Linked DNA regions of Anolis sagrei. The protein of the gene in region 1 interacts with the protein of each later gene in a pairwise test. Links are inferred from orthologs where the notes say so. Each region holds a gene or a part of one and is shown on either strand. Other genes may lie near its edges.

Region 1 (6,833 bases):
AAAGCAGCTCAGATGATAATTTATCTTTTAAAACAAGATTCTAGTTCTTTGTTTCAAGAAAAAAAAGGCTGCTGAACAATCTGAAACCTGAAGGACTGGAGATAGGAAACAGAAGTCTGTTCTTAAATGTCTTTTTTAAAAGCAATACATTGTGTCCCATGTCCTCCCAGTTTTATCCTGATTATTACTTTTTTCTGTGTATACTTCAATTAAAATCCATCTATGTCATTTCAAATTCTTCCTTTTAGAAGAGCTGCTTCCCAATCCCTTTTTGACAAAGAGGTTTCTTGGATGACACATTTTACTTCCTCACTAGAAGCAGCAATAGGAAAGATTACCAGGCCAATTAGATTTGACACAGATGACCAAGACGGTTTTAAATGGTGTATTTTAATCTTGCGATAAATGTTTTTAATGTTTATGCATGCGTATATGAATTCTTGAATGTTTGCCGTATATATGCTGTGCTCCGCCCTGAGTTCCCTTTGGGGTGAGAAGGGTGGAATATAAATGTTTTAAATAAATAAATAAACTAGGCAAGAGTAGTGCTGCTCCTTGAAGCCACACTTTTCCCTCCATAAAGCATACAACAGGTAAGCAACAAAAGGTTTCCTCATTCCAGTCAGGGAGACACATTCCAAAACAAGCTGTTAACCAAAAAGAAACATTCTACTTGGAGCCCTATCACATCACACTATTAGCATTATTATTCCACTTTACCTGCCATTAAAATATTCTGTGGCTTGTAGTTTAATGAGGGCCAAGAGTTTTTTTGTCGGAGAATTCTAAATGCTCCTACCTAAAGTGGAAAACCCAGGATCGTATATGATATTACCATGGCAGTTAAAGTGTGATAGGGTCCTGAGACTGAAAGAGGAATTCCCTTGCAATAAAAAGAGAACAGAGAGTCAATCCTATTTTGAAGTAACTAGGTTGAATATCCTCTTGCTTGGTAATTTCCATTATGTATGGCAATTGCTGTATTTTGTTTGTAATTCCAAGTCAATAAAAACAATAAAAAATTGAGAAAAGACACGTCTTTCTCCTACAATTTTTCCCCAGTAAAGTAACATTGGATTTGCTGACTGTTTCCAGCTACTACTGAAATGGTTTGTACCTGTTTGTTCAGAATCACAGGCCTTGAATGTGCATTTCAGAACATTTTCTTCAGAGCAGTGGTCTGCATTCAGGATGTTTTTGTTGCTAACACCAGAGTTGTCCCATGGTACTGCTAAGAAACACATAAATTAGTTTTTTTCCTCTAAGCCTGGATAATCTGCAAACCATTATACCCACAAAGATCTAAAATAAGCTCACTTGACTAAAAAGACATAATGACTTGCCATTTGTCCACATTACAGCCCATTTCTCTGTACTCAAAATCCAATATTAGGCCTTTTCTTCATCTCTCCCATTCATAATTCCCCACTGTCCATTCTTTTTACTGAAATGGTATGTCTCATATCTACTCAAAGTGCTTGCATCTCAAATAGGGTTTCTTCATTCAAACAAAAATTGCTGAGCAACTTAATGGCTTAAAAGCCAGATGAGTATGTATGAAGCAGCATGTACAGTAACTCTATTTTTCTCTCTCTCTCAGAATACCCTAATTTGTCATAAAACCAAATGTGAAGAGCGGATAAAGCATCCAACTGAAAAGTATTTGATGTACAATTTGCATGACTCACACTCCACAGAACTAGATGAAGAACTGCACCAATGCAACATTACAATAATTTCTACTAGGGATTGAGTTACAAACTAAATTGGAAATCATAGTAAAGTAGATCAGTGACATCAGACCAATGACTGCCACACAGGTGTCGCCTATTTTGTGGCACAGAACTGAACTAAAATGGAGAATGACTGAAACTAGAGAAAGCATTTGTATTCATATTAGAGATATTACAGTGGCAGGCAAGTGGCAGGCAAAAACCTGGAACCTCAAGCCATGGCTGATACCGAATGAGACTCCTCCCGGCACACAGAAGACTAGGCGACTTGGAAGATTCTTAACAGACTGCGCTCTGGCACCACGAGATGCAGAGCCAACCTTAAGAAATGGGGCCACAAAGTGGAGTCCACCACATGTGAGTGTGGAGAAGGGCAAACCACAGAACACCCATTACAATGCAGCCTGAGCCTTGCAACATACACAATGGAGGACCTTCTTATAGTAACTCCAGAGGCACTCCAAGTGGCCAGCTACTGGTCAAAGGACATTTAATAGAATGGCAAATTTTTAAACTTTGTGGTTTTAAATACATTACAACTATACCCTTCATTTGCTTCTGATACGATAAATAAAAAAGAGATATTACAACAATAAAAAGCAAGCTTTATCTAGAGTTGGACAAGAACTGGAAAGAACACTCAGCCCCAAGGTTTTTCATTGACCAGCCCACAAAGGCCCACAATCTATGTATTTGTTATTCATTTATATGTCAACCTAAGCGCTCGCTCCCTCTTATACACACACACACATTGGTAATAAAGCACTTTGCATACTAGCCCAAGTTTGTAAAATAATCATTTGGGATTTTGGGTCAAAACAAGGGAGAGTAAGTGTGTTGCATGCCAGTCTACTGTGCCATGATCTCTCTGTAGCTCTAGAAATCAGGTACGCTTGGAACATATAGGGGGAAAAACAATATTTAGATAATCTAAACATTGATTTGAGAAATGTGGTTCAGACTTGCATCCATTTTTACTGGAGTCACTATGAATGGCCTGAGTTAATGTCGTTTAGGGTAAGTGGCACAAACATCAAAATTAGGAAACAACAGCAGCCCATAGCTTTGAAACCAAAACTGTACTGTTAAATAGGAATTACTTTTTTTCAAATTAACGTGGATGACAGGATGGTTCTAAGATCCAACACCAATAAAATAATAAACAATTACAAGATTGAATTTTTCAGGAACAACTAATATTTACCTTCTGTTGATAAGACTGCAGTTAACTGTGCTACTGCTGCATTTTCAAAAGACTTGTGGTAAATAATATCCTCCATCACCAGATAAGTGCCTTTTCAGTCAGAGCTTTATTTATTCCACAGAAATATTCTTTTCCTTCAAAAAAAGAAAGAATGTGTTTTATTTAAGCGCAGCCAGCAAACCAGGAACTTGGTTCCAGCCTTCACAAAACAAGAGACTTTTCGGGAGAATTGTTTGCCAGGTTTTGAAAGTACCGTAATAAAACACCTGGTTGAATTACCTCAAAAATATAGGTATGACAATGCCATCAGTTCAAAAATCTGTACACTAAATTGCTTAAAGCTGTCCCTGGATTGAAACACTATACTCTTATTTATGCAAACCAATGAGATTTTGGCCTGCATAAATAGGAGTATAGTGCCTAGATCTAGGGAAGTCTTGCTACCCCTCTATTTTGCCTTGGTCAGACCACACCTGGAATACTGTGTCCAATTCTGGGCACCACAATTGAAGGGAGATGTTGACAAGCTGGAATGTGTCCAGAGGAAGGCAACTAAAAGGATCAGAATGTTGAGTATAAGCCCTATGAGGAACGGCTTAAAGAACTGGGCATGATTAGCCTGCAGATGGGAAGGCTGAGAGGAGACATGATGGCCATGTATAAATATGTGAGGGGAAGTCATAGGGAGGAGGGAGAAAGCTTGTTTTCTGCTGCCCTGGAGACTAGGATGCAGAACAATGGCTTCAAACTACAGGAAAGGAGATTCCACCTGAACATTAGGAAGAACTTCCTGACTGTGAGAGCTGTTCAGAAGTGGAACTCTCTGCCCCCGGAGTGTGGTGGAGGCTCCTTCTTTGGAGGCTTTTAAACAGAGTCAAGTGACTGGCTTGACTCTGAAAGAGATGGGGGTAGTGACAGTCAACAAGGAGCTCTGGTGTGGGCTGGTCCATTAGGTCACAAAGAGTCAGAAGCGACTGAACGAATAAACTACAAACAGAGGCTGGATGGCCATCTGTCGGAGGTGCTTTGAATGCAATTTTCCTGCTTCTTGGCAAGAGGTTGGACTGGATGGCCCACGAGGTCTCTTCCAGAGGTAGTGAGGATGCTTGCCACAGATGCAGGCAAAACGTCAGGAGAGAATGCCTCTAGACCATGGCCATATAGCCCGAAAAAACCTACAACAACCCAGTGATTCCGGCCATGAAAGCCTTCAACAATACATCGTTACTAAACTGTACCCTTAACGGAAAGTATATAATTAAAGAGAAAGATGAACCCTCAAAAGACTAAGTCAACAATCAATTTTTTAAAAAAAATTCTGCTGTTGGTTGAATTTTTCGATAGTTTTTTTATTACTATTATTTTATTATTATTATTATTATTATATGATTTTTTTCTCCTTCTTTCTCTTTTTTGCCCTACTTTCCTATAGCATTATTATTCCTCCACTTTACATGCATAGAAAAAAAAATATCCCTCTACTTTCCCTCCCTTTCTAACCTTAATAAAATAGATTTTTAAAAAAAGAAGACTTCAATCCCCTTTTCAGCATTTCACTTCCCCTCAAAATAAATGACATAGGTAAAGGTTGTCCCCTGACATTAAGTCCAGTCATGTCTGACTCTGGGGTGTGGTGCTCATCTCCATTTCTAAGCCGAAGAGCCCGCGTTGTCCATAGACACCTCCAAGGTCAGGTGGCCAGCATGACATATTGCCAGATAAAGGCTTCAAAAACCTCAATTATGCCTGCCTGTGATATAGTCACTTCAGAGAGTGTTTGAAACAGGCATGGGCAAACTTTGGCCTTCCTCCAGGTGTTTTGGACTTCAACTCCCACAATACCTAACAGCCTACCGGCTGTTAGGTATTGTGGGAGTTGAAGTCCAAAACACCTGGAGGAAGGCCGAAGTTTGCCCGTGCCTGACGAAGGCAGAGTTCCCATTAAAATGGGCCCCTTCCCCATGCCTTTCAACCTTCTTCAAGGAGCCATCTTGTTACTCCTTGCGCAACTGAGGGGAGGCCAAGCTATATTTCAAAGGCAACCCCTGAAAATTATTTCTTCCCTCACTGAAATCTCCTCAGCCATTAAACAAACAAACAAAACAGCCTCTTCGACCAAAAGCAAAGTGGACTGAAAAGCCCTTCCACCTTTTGAGGGGAATTCAGAGTGAAAATGCCTCCTTCCCTGACTAAACTGAGAGGGCCTTGCTGAGGGAAGAAGGAGACACTCCTAAAAGGGCGGGAAGAATAAGGCCCCTTCTACACTGCCATGTAAAAACCAGATTATCTGTTTTGAACGGGATTATATGGCAGTGTAGACTCATATAATCAAGTTCAAACAGATTATATAGATTATATGTAGGTTATATGGCAGTATAGAATTTATTATTTATTTATTTCGAGTTTTTATATACCGACCCTCTCACCTTCAAAGAGGGATTCGGACCGGTTCACAACATGTGTTAACATACAAAAAATATACAATAACAACACAATGCCACTTAATTACATGATTAAAATATCAGCACCATACACATTAAAACATTATCATCCCAGTTAAAAGAGCCAAATCGTCTGACACCATCACAATCCCATTCATCATCCTCCTTTCATGTGGGCAAAGAATTAAATCAGTTGTCAAATGCCGTGTTCCACAACCAGGTCTTTGTTAGTTTCTTGAATGTCATGAGGGAGGGGGCAGTTCTGATCTCTAATGGCAGGGAGTTCCAAAGTCAAGGGGCCACCACCGAGAAGGCCCTGTCCCTCGTCGCCACCAGCCGTGCTTGTGCAGGCGGAGGGACCGAGAGCAGAGCCCCTCCGGATGATCTTAGTGGTCTTGATGGTTCGTAGGGGAGAATACGTTCAGAGAGGTAAACAGGGCCGGAGTCGTTTAGGGCTTTATAGGTTAACACCAGCACTTTGAATTGTGCTCGGAAGCTAATCGGCAGCCAGTGGAGTTCGAGTAACAGCGGAGTGGTGTGCTCCCTGTACCCCGCACCCGTTAGTAATCTGGCTGCTGCGCATTGTACTTGCTGCAGCTTCCGGGCAGTCTTCAGAGGCAACCCCACGTAGAGAGCGTTGCAGTAATCTAAGCAGGATGTAACCAAAGCGTGTACTACCGTGGCCAAGTCATATTGGAAAGGGCCCCAGTCTCTAAATGCTACAAGATCCCTATGCATAAGCTCTCATAATGTTTTCTCCATCATCTAGACATTTTGCTGCCTAATTTTTTGTTTATGTAATTTATATTAACTGTTTTGTATTGATTGTTTTTGTTATTGCCTTTGTTTGCTGATGTACTGTGGGCTTGGCCTCATGTAAGCCGCACCGAGTCCCTTGGGGAGATGGTAGCGGGGGTATAAATATATTATTATTATTATTATTATTATTATTATTATTATTATTATTATTATTATGCAAGGCTATCCATGGCAATCTCCCCCTAGTCTTTTTGCCTGGTTTATGCCTTTAAATACCATATTTCTGCTCCCTTTCTTCTTGGTCATGCTACATCTACATTATACCTTTTTTTTCAAAATTAGCACAAGTTTTTATTGGAAAAGAGTCTGTGAAACATGATCCACAACTATGAAAATGGACAAAATATGGCTACCAGTATTTAAAAATATCTAAAATGAGGACAGTAAATAAAGAGCAATGTTCAAAAAACAGGGAAATTCCAGACACGTAACACATCCCAACAAAAGATTTCCTCAGTCAGAAAGCAGCCAGGCTTTGAAGCTGCAAGGCCATTCAGTGCTAATCAAGGTGGCCAGTTGCAATATTCACACTTGCCTCAAACAGACAAGAGTTCAATGTATTGTCGAAGGCTTTCATGGCTGGGATCACTGGGTTGTTGTAGGTTTTTCCAGGTTATATGGCCAGCATTTTCTACA
Region 2 (5,602 bases), on another chromosome or scaffold:
ATGCTTGTCTTAATGCGTTTTAAAAATCTGGTCTAGAATTATAAGGTAATTTATTTTTCTTTCATGCTAAATATTTTCAATGAGCAATCAAGATCTATTCATCAATTTTGTAAAAACGATACAAACATTCAAAAATGTGGTGGTGAGAACATATGTAATTGAAAGTAAAAGCAAAATAATTCACATTTCAGCTGCAGATACACTTGTACATGTCTCTCCTATTCAGTCCCAGCATATCTCAATTTTAGCAAGCAGAAATAGCTTTATAATGATGGGTATATGTTAAATTTCTATTCTTATAATGCAATAGAAATGGGGTCAAATTATATAAGTGGGGAGTTGATTTCATTCATACACATTAGAAATAATGATAAAAATAAATTCTTTTCCTATTGTAATTTACAACTGATAGTCAAAATATATCAATTTCCACCCACATTTACAGACCATCTCCTTACCCTCTTTTTCATAATCAACATAACTCAGAAACCCTGTGGTTATTCTCAGCAGTCCAAGCCAAAAACGTGCCAAATCTTGGAGGCTTTTGCAAACCTACACATCTTTTACTGTGTTTCATATCTGAACAGACGTGGCGGGTGGGAGCTTTTTCCTGCTGCCAAACAAAACACTTGATTCTGTAGATGAAAAGGACATGCTGGAGGCTTGCATATTTCCCTTTGCTTTCCAAAATCCAGGGAAATACATCAGGACCTGCTGTCGAAAGTGCTGATCCATAAAGACATAGATGACAGGGTTGATACAGCTGTTTACGAAAGCCAGGCAAGCGGTGATGGTGAGTCCCCCGAAGAGAGTTCTCAGGGCCTGGCAAGAGAGATCAATGTTCTGAGCCATAGTGAAGATTATCTTGAAGGTGTTGAAAGGCAGCCAAGAACAGACAAATGCCCCAATGATGGTAAAGATGATTTTAAGGGCATTGTTTCTTCTTTTGCCTAGTCTGGCATGGCTCTGAAGTTTGGAGAAGATAGAGCAATAGCAGAACAAGATGACTCCCAACGGCAACAGGAAGGTTAAGCTGAGCATGACCACACTGAAGGTGGCAGGGGGGTCACCCTGGCATGAATATTTGCTATCTCCCTTGAAGGCCAGATTTCTGTAGACCAGTGATGGTATTCCTAGAAGTAGTGAGATTGCCCAGATGCAGCCACAGCTCGTGATGGCATTCTTCCTGGTTCCAATGGACCTGGCATCCCAACGCTTGGTCATCACAAGGAAGCGTTCCACGCTCATGCCTGTCAGGAACAAGATACTTGAGCAGCGGTTGACAGAGATGGTATAGCTGCTCAGCTTGCATAGTCCTTCACTAAAGAGCCAGCCATCAAGAGCTGCTGACAAACCCCAGAAAGGCAAAGTAAATACAAAGACCAGGTCAGCTATGGCCAGATTGAGAACGAAGGTATCCACAAGCCTTTTGCTACCTTGTTTTCGTGCCATCAGTAGGATCACAAATAGGTTCCCAAAGAAACCGATGAAAAAACTCAGGAAATAGAGAATGGGGATAAAGATGTAAGCAAATGGTAGTTCCAGGTGGCAGATATTCATAGAATCCAATCCATCATATTCAGTTGGGTATTCTTCAAAGTTGCTACTCCAGTTTTCTGTCATTGCTGATGTAGTTGACAATTGAGCAGCTTCCATCTCTTAACAAGGATTCACTGAAGAGTCTTCAGCAATATTGTTGCAAGAGGACACCAAGGCACATTCAATCTATAACAGGTGGGTGTTGTCTAAAGAGTGGTTTTCTTGTTTTTCTAGTGGTAACTTCCTCTTGCTTTTCATGAAGAGGTAGAGGTTTGTTTCAGTCAAGCAATAACAACTTGAAAGCTTGACATCAACCCAATTTTGGAAATCCTTTAAGATTGCAGAAACTGGGTATCAGGATGCTTATGTTTGAAGAGTGTGTACATTTATGATCATGGTGGAACCTTCTATGATGGTCGCAGCAGGATATTTGCAATCCAGTGATGATTACTTGTTTCACTGCAGATTTTATGAAATCAGAAAATAAATATCACTGTCCTTAAAGCATGCATCAAAGAAAATGTTGGACTTTTCACACAGTGCTTATCAAGAGTTGCTTCTCAAGTGGAATGGCTTACTTGCAGAATGATATTCATTTGAACCCTGACAACCTTTAAGCCAGGGGTGTCAAACTCATATTCTACCAAGCGCCACATCAGCCTTATGTTTGCTTTCAAAGAGCTGTTGAATCCATGGATGGAAAATCTGTTGATACAGAGGGCCAAAAATAATTCTTTACATAGTGGTTGGTGCTCTTTACTTTTCATCCATTGTGGGTCCCCAGATGTTATTGAATGACAATTCCCATCATTTTTGATTATCTGTCATGGTCTAGGGATTGTAAGAATTGCAACTCAACAGTACTTGTGGCTCAGAAGAATGGTTACAAGACAATTTAAAGTAAGATATACTATCCAGAAGTCTTGTATCTAAATTCAAATCCTATTATCCTGACTAAACAGAACAAATTGCTGCTTTCCATCAGCTATAGTCATGATGACTAATGATGAGGAATACAAGAGTTTTAGTCCAGCATCTAGAGGACCAGATTCAGCCCTTGGATCTTGAATCTGGTACATGTACAGGGTTAGTCAAAATGAATAGGCCAATAAGAAAATTAATTGTACCCGAATGTATGTTTACTGTAACCAAACCACAGCTACGTAGCGACAGATAAACTATCAAAGTTTTTTTTGAGCAACACACATGTACGTTAATGCCGCTAGGCATCGCTAGGAGTCGCTGTTTTCAAAATGGCGGAATCAGGCAAAGAGAAGGCGTTTTGTGTGATGACATTTGCTAAAACAATGTCAGTAATTACGGTCCAGCGAGAATTTCGAGCCAAGTATGGCAAGGAACCACCTCATCGACATTCCAGGTGGGTAAAGCAATTTGAGGAGACGGGCTGCTTATGCAAGGGTAAAACCACAGGACGACCGTGTGTCTCCGAAGACACAGTGGAATCCATTTATGCATCCTTTCAACGAAGTCCCCAGAAGTCGACAAATCGTGTTTCCATGGAATTGAACGTTCCGCAAAAAACTGTGTGGCGCGTGTTACGCAAACGTTTGCAGTTCAAGCCATATAAATTGCAAATGGTGCAGGCTTTGAAAAAAGGTGACTATTCGAAACGACACGATTTTTGCGAATCAATGTAGCGAAGACTAGAGGAGGAAGGCTTTGCCAACAGACTGGTCTTCAGTGACGAGGCAACGTTTCACCTGTGCGGGAAGGTCAATAGGCATAATCTCCGCTTTTGGGGATCTGAAAATCCTCATGCCGTATTGGAACATGTAAGGGATTCGCCGAAGGTAAACGTTTTCTGTGCAATAACCAACCGTCACGTGTTTGGCCCATTCTTTTTTGCGGAGAAAACCGTAACAGGCATAGTGTACGCTGACATGTTGTCTGAATGGTTGATGCCACAGTTAGAAGAGAAAGTGCCCAATTTCGTATTCCAACAGGACGGTGCCCCTCCGCATTGGCACAACAGTATACGCGAGTACCTCAACGAACACCTTCCCAGACGTTGGATTGGCCGTGCTGGAGTGACTGATCTTCCATTCCTCCTGTGGCCCCCCAGGTCCCCCGACCTCACACCATGCGACTTTTCTCTCTGGGGGTATGTGAAAGACACTGTGTTCCGACCTCCATTACCGCTGACCTTGGACGACTTAAAACAGCGCATATGTGCTGCATTCGATGCCATTACGTCGGATGTGCTGCAACGGATGTGGAATTAACTGGACTATCGCTTGGACGTCTGCCGTGTCACACGGGGCGCCCATATCAAACATCTCTGAAGGTGAGACAAAACTTTGATAATTTATCTGTCGATACGTAGCTGTAGTTTGGTTACAATAAACATACATTCGTCTAAAATTAATTTTCTTATTGGCCTATTCATTTTGACTAACCCTGTATTTTAAGCTCTACAATCACCGGGGGGGGGGGGGGATCAATTCTTAAACAAGATCCTTTCCTCCTAAATTTTATACATTTCTGCTAAATGCTGCATTATGGCCATTGTGATCCATGCCTTAGTTATATCTAGAATGGATTACTGCAATGCACTCTACGTGGGGCTGCCTCTGAAGATGGCTTGGAAATTGCAGTTGGTGCAAAGATCGGCAGCCAGGATACTAACTGGGGCTATCTATAGGGAGACACCTTGCCCCTACTGAAGCAGCTCCACTGGCTGCCAATAAGTTTCTGGTCCCAATTCAATGTGCAGGTTATTAGCTACAATGCTCTACACCAGGGGTCCTCAGACTTTTTAAACTTTTTAAACAGAAGGCTAGGCCACAGTCCCTCAAACTGTTGGAGGGCGGGATTATAATTGGAAAAAAACATGAATGAATTCCTATGCACACTGCACATACCTTATTTGTAGTGCAAAAACCACTTAAAAACAATACAATAATTAAAATGAAGAACAAATACCAATTTATTAGTATTTCAATGGGAAGTGTGGGCCTGCTTTTGGCTGATGAGATAGAATTGTTGTTGTGTGCTTTCAAGTTGTTTCAGACTTAGGTTGACCCTGAGTGAGGGCCGGGTAAATAACCTTGGAGGGCCGCATCCGGGCCCCGAGCCTTAGTTTGAGGACCCCTGACAGTTCGGGTCTAGCCTATCTTTGTGATCGCATCTCCCCCTATGAACCGGTGTTGGCTCTAAGATCTTCCAGGGAAGCCGTCCTCTCGGTCCCACCTCCATATCAAGTGCAGTTAGCGGGGATGAGGGAGAGGGCCCAAAGCTGGGGGTGGTGGCCCCCAGCTTCAGAACTCCTTCCCCAAGGAACGTAGGCAAGACCCCACACTACAGCACTTTTGGAAAGAGTTAAAAACTTGGGTTTTTCAGCAGGCCTTTAATAAAATTTAAGCTGGTAGCCAAACCGATTGCCAATTACTTTAGTACCTTATATCTACATTTTGATGGGTATACAGCTGGGCTGCTAAATCAATTGCTATGGATCTTTCTAACCAATGACTATAGCCACATTTTACCAATACTATTTAATAGAGATTGTTTTTGTTAATTTTATATGTATGTTTTTATGTAAATGTGTTATTGATTCTATATGTTGATGTATTGTATTTTATGTATGTATGGCACCATTGTGTGCTATTTTGTAAGCAACTCTGAGTCCTTACGGGAGATAGTGGTGGGGTATAAATAAAGTTTTATTATTTGATACATAACAAGATTAGTACACAGCAAACAAGAACACTATGCTGGCTTTTGTATTTGATCACACGTCAGACACTTCCCAAGTGTTTAGGACTGTGTGATTTATCTCCGAATAATGCCTGCAGATGACCTTTTGCAGCTAACAGATGGTAATTTTGTCAGCGTCGATTGTTTTTAAGTGCACACCAAGGTCTTTAGGCACTGCATCCAGTGTGCCGATTACTACTGGGACCACCTTTACTGGCTTGTGCCAGAGTCTTTGCAGTTCTGTCTTTAAATCCTCATGTCACGAAAGCTTTTCCGGTTGCTTCTTGTCACCACTTCTTCTTCTTCTTCTTCTTCTTCTTCTTCTTCTTCTTCTTCTTCTTCTTCT

What was found. The genes of interacting proteins can lie anywhere in the genome.
Region 2: the proteins of KASH5 (region 1) and GPR25 interact in binary tests that used the Homo sapiens proteins (3 or more experiments, as listed by UniProt). The two-hybrid records come from large-scale screens. The link is inferred for Anolis sagrei from reciprocal best matches to the Homo sapiens genes KASH5 and GPR25.

What each region holds. Positions count from the first base shown.
Region 1 is NC_090026.1:22,017,417-22,024,249, forward strand, and holds the start of KASH5 (protein KASH5), read right to left. Parts: upstream 3,014-6,833; coding exon 2,938-3,013; intron 1,232-2,937; coding exon 1,118-1,231; intron 1-1,117. UniProt on the Homo sapiens protein: As a component of the LINC (LInker of Nucleoskeleton and Cytoskeleton) complex, involved in the connection between the nuclear lamina and the cytoskeleton.
Region 2 is NC_090024.1:185,441,884-185,447,485, reverse strand, and holds GPR25 (probable G-protein coupled receptor 25), read right to left. Parts: upstream 1,657-5,602; coding exon 574-1,656; 3' UTR 524-573; downstream 1-523. UniProt on the Homo sapiens protein: Orphan receptor.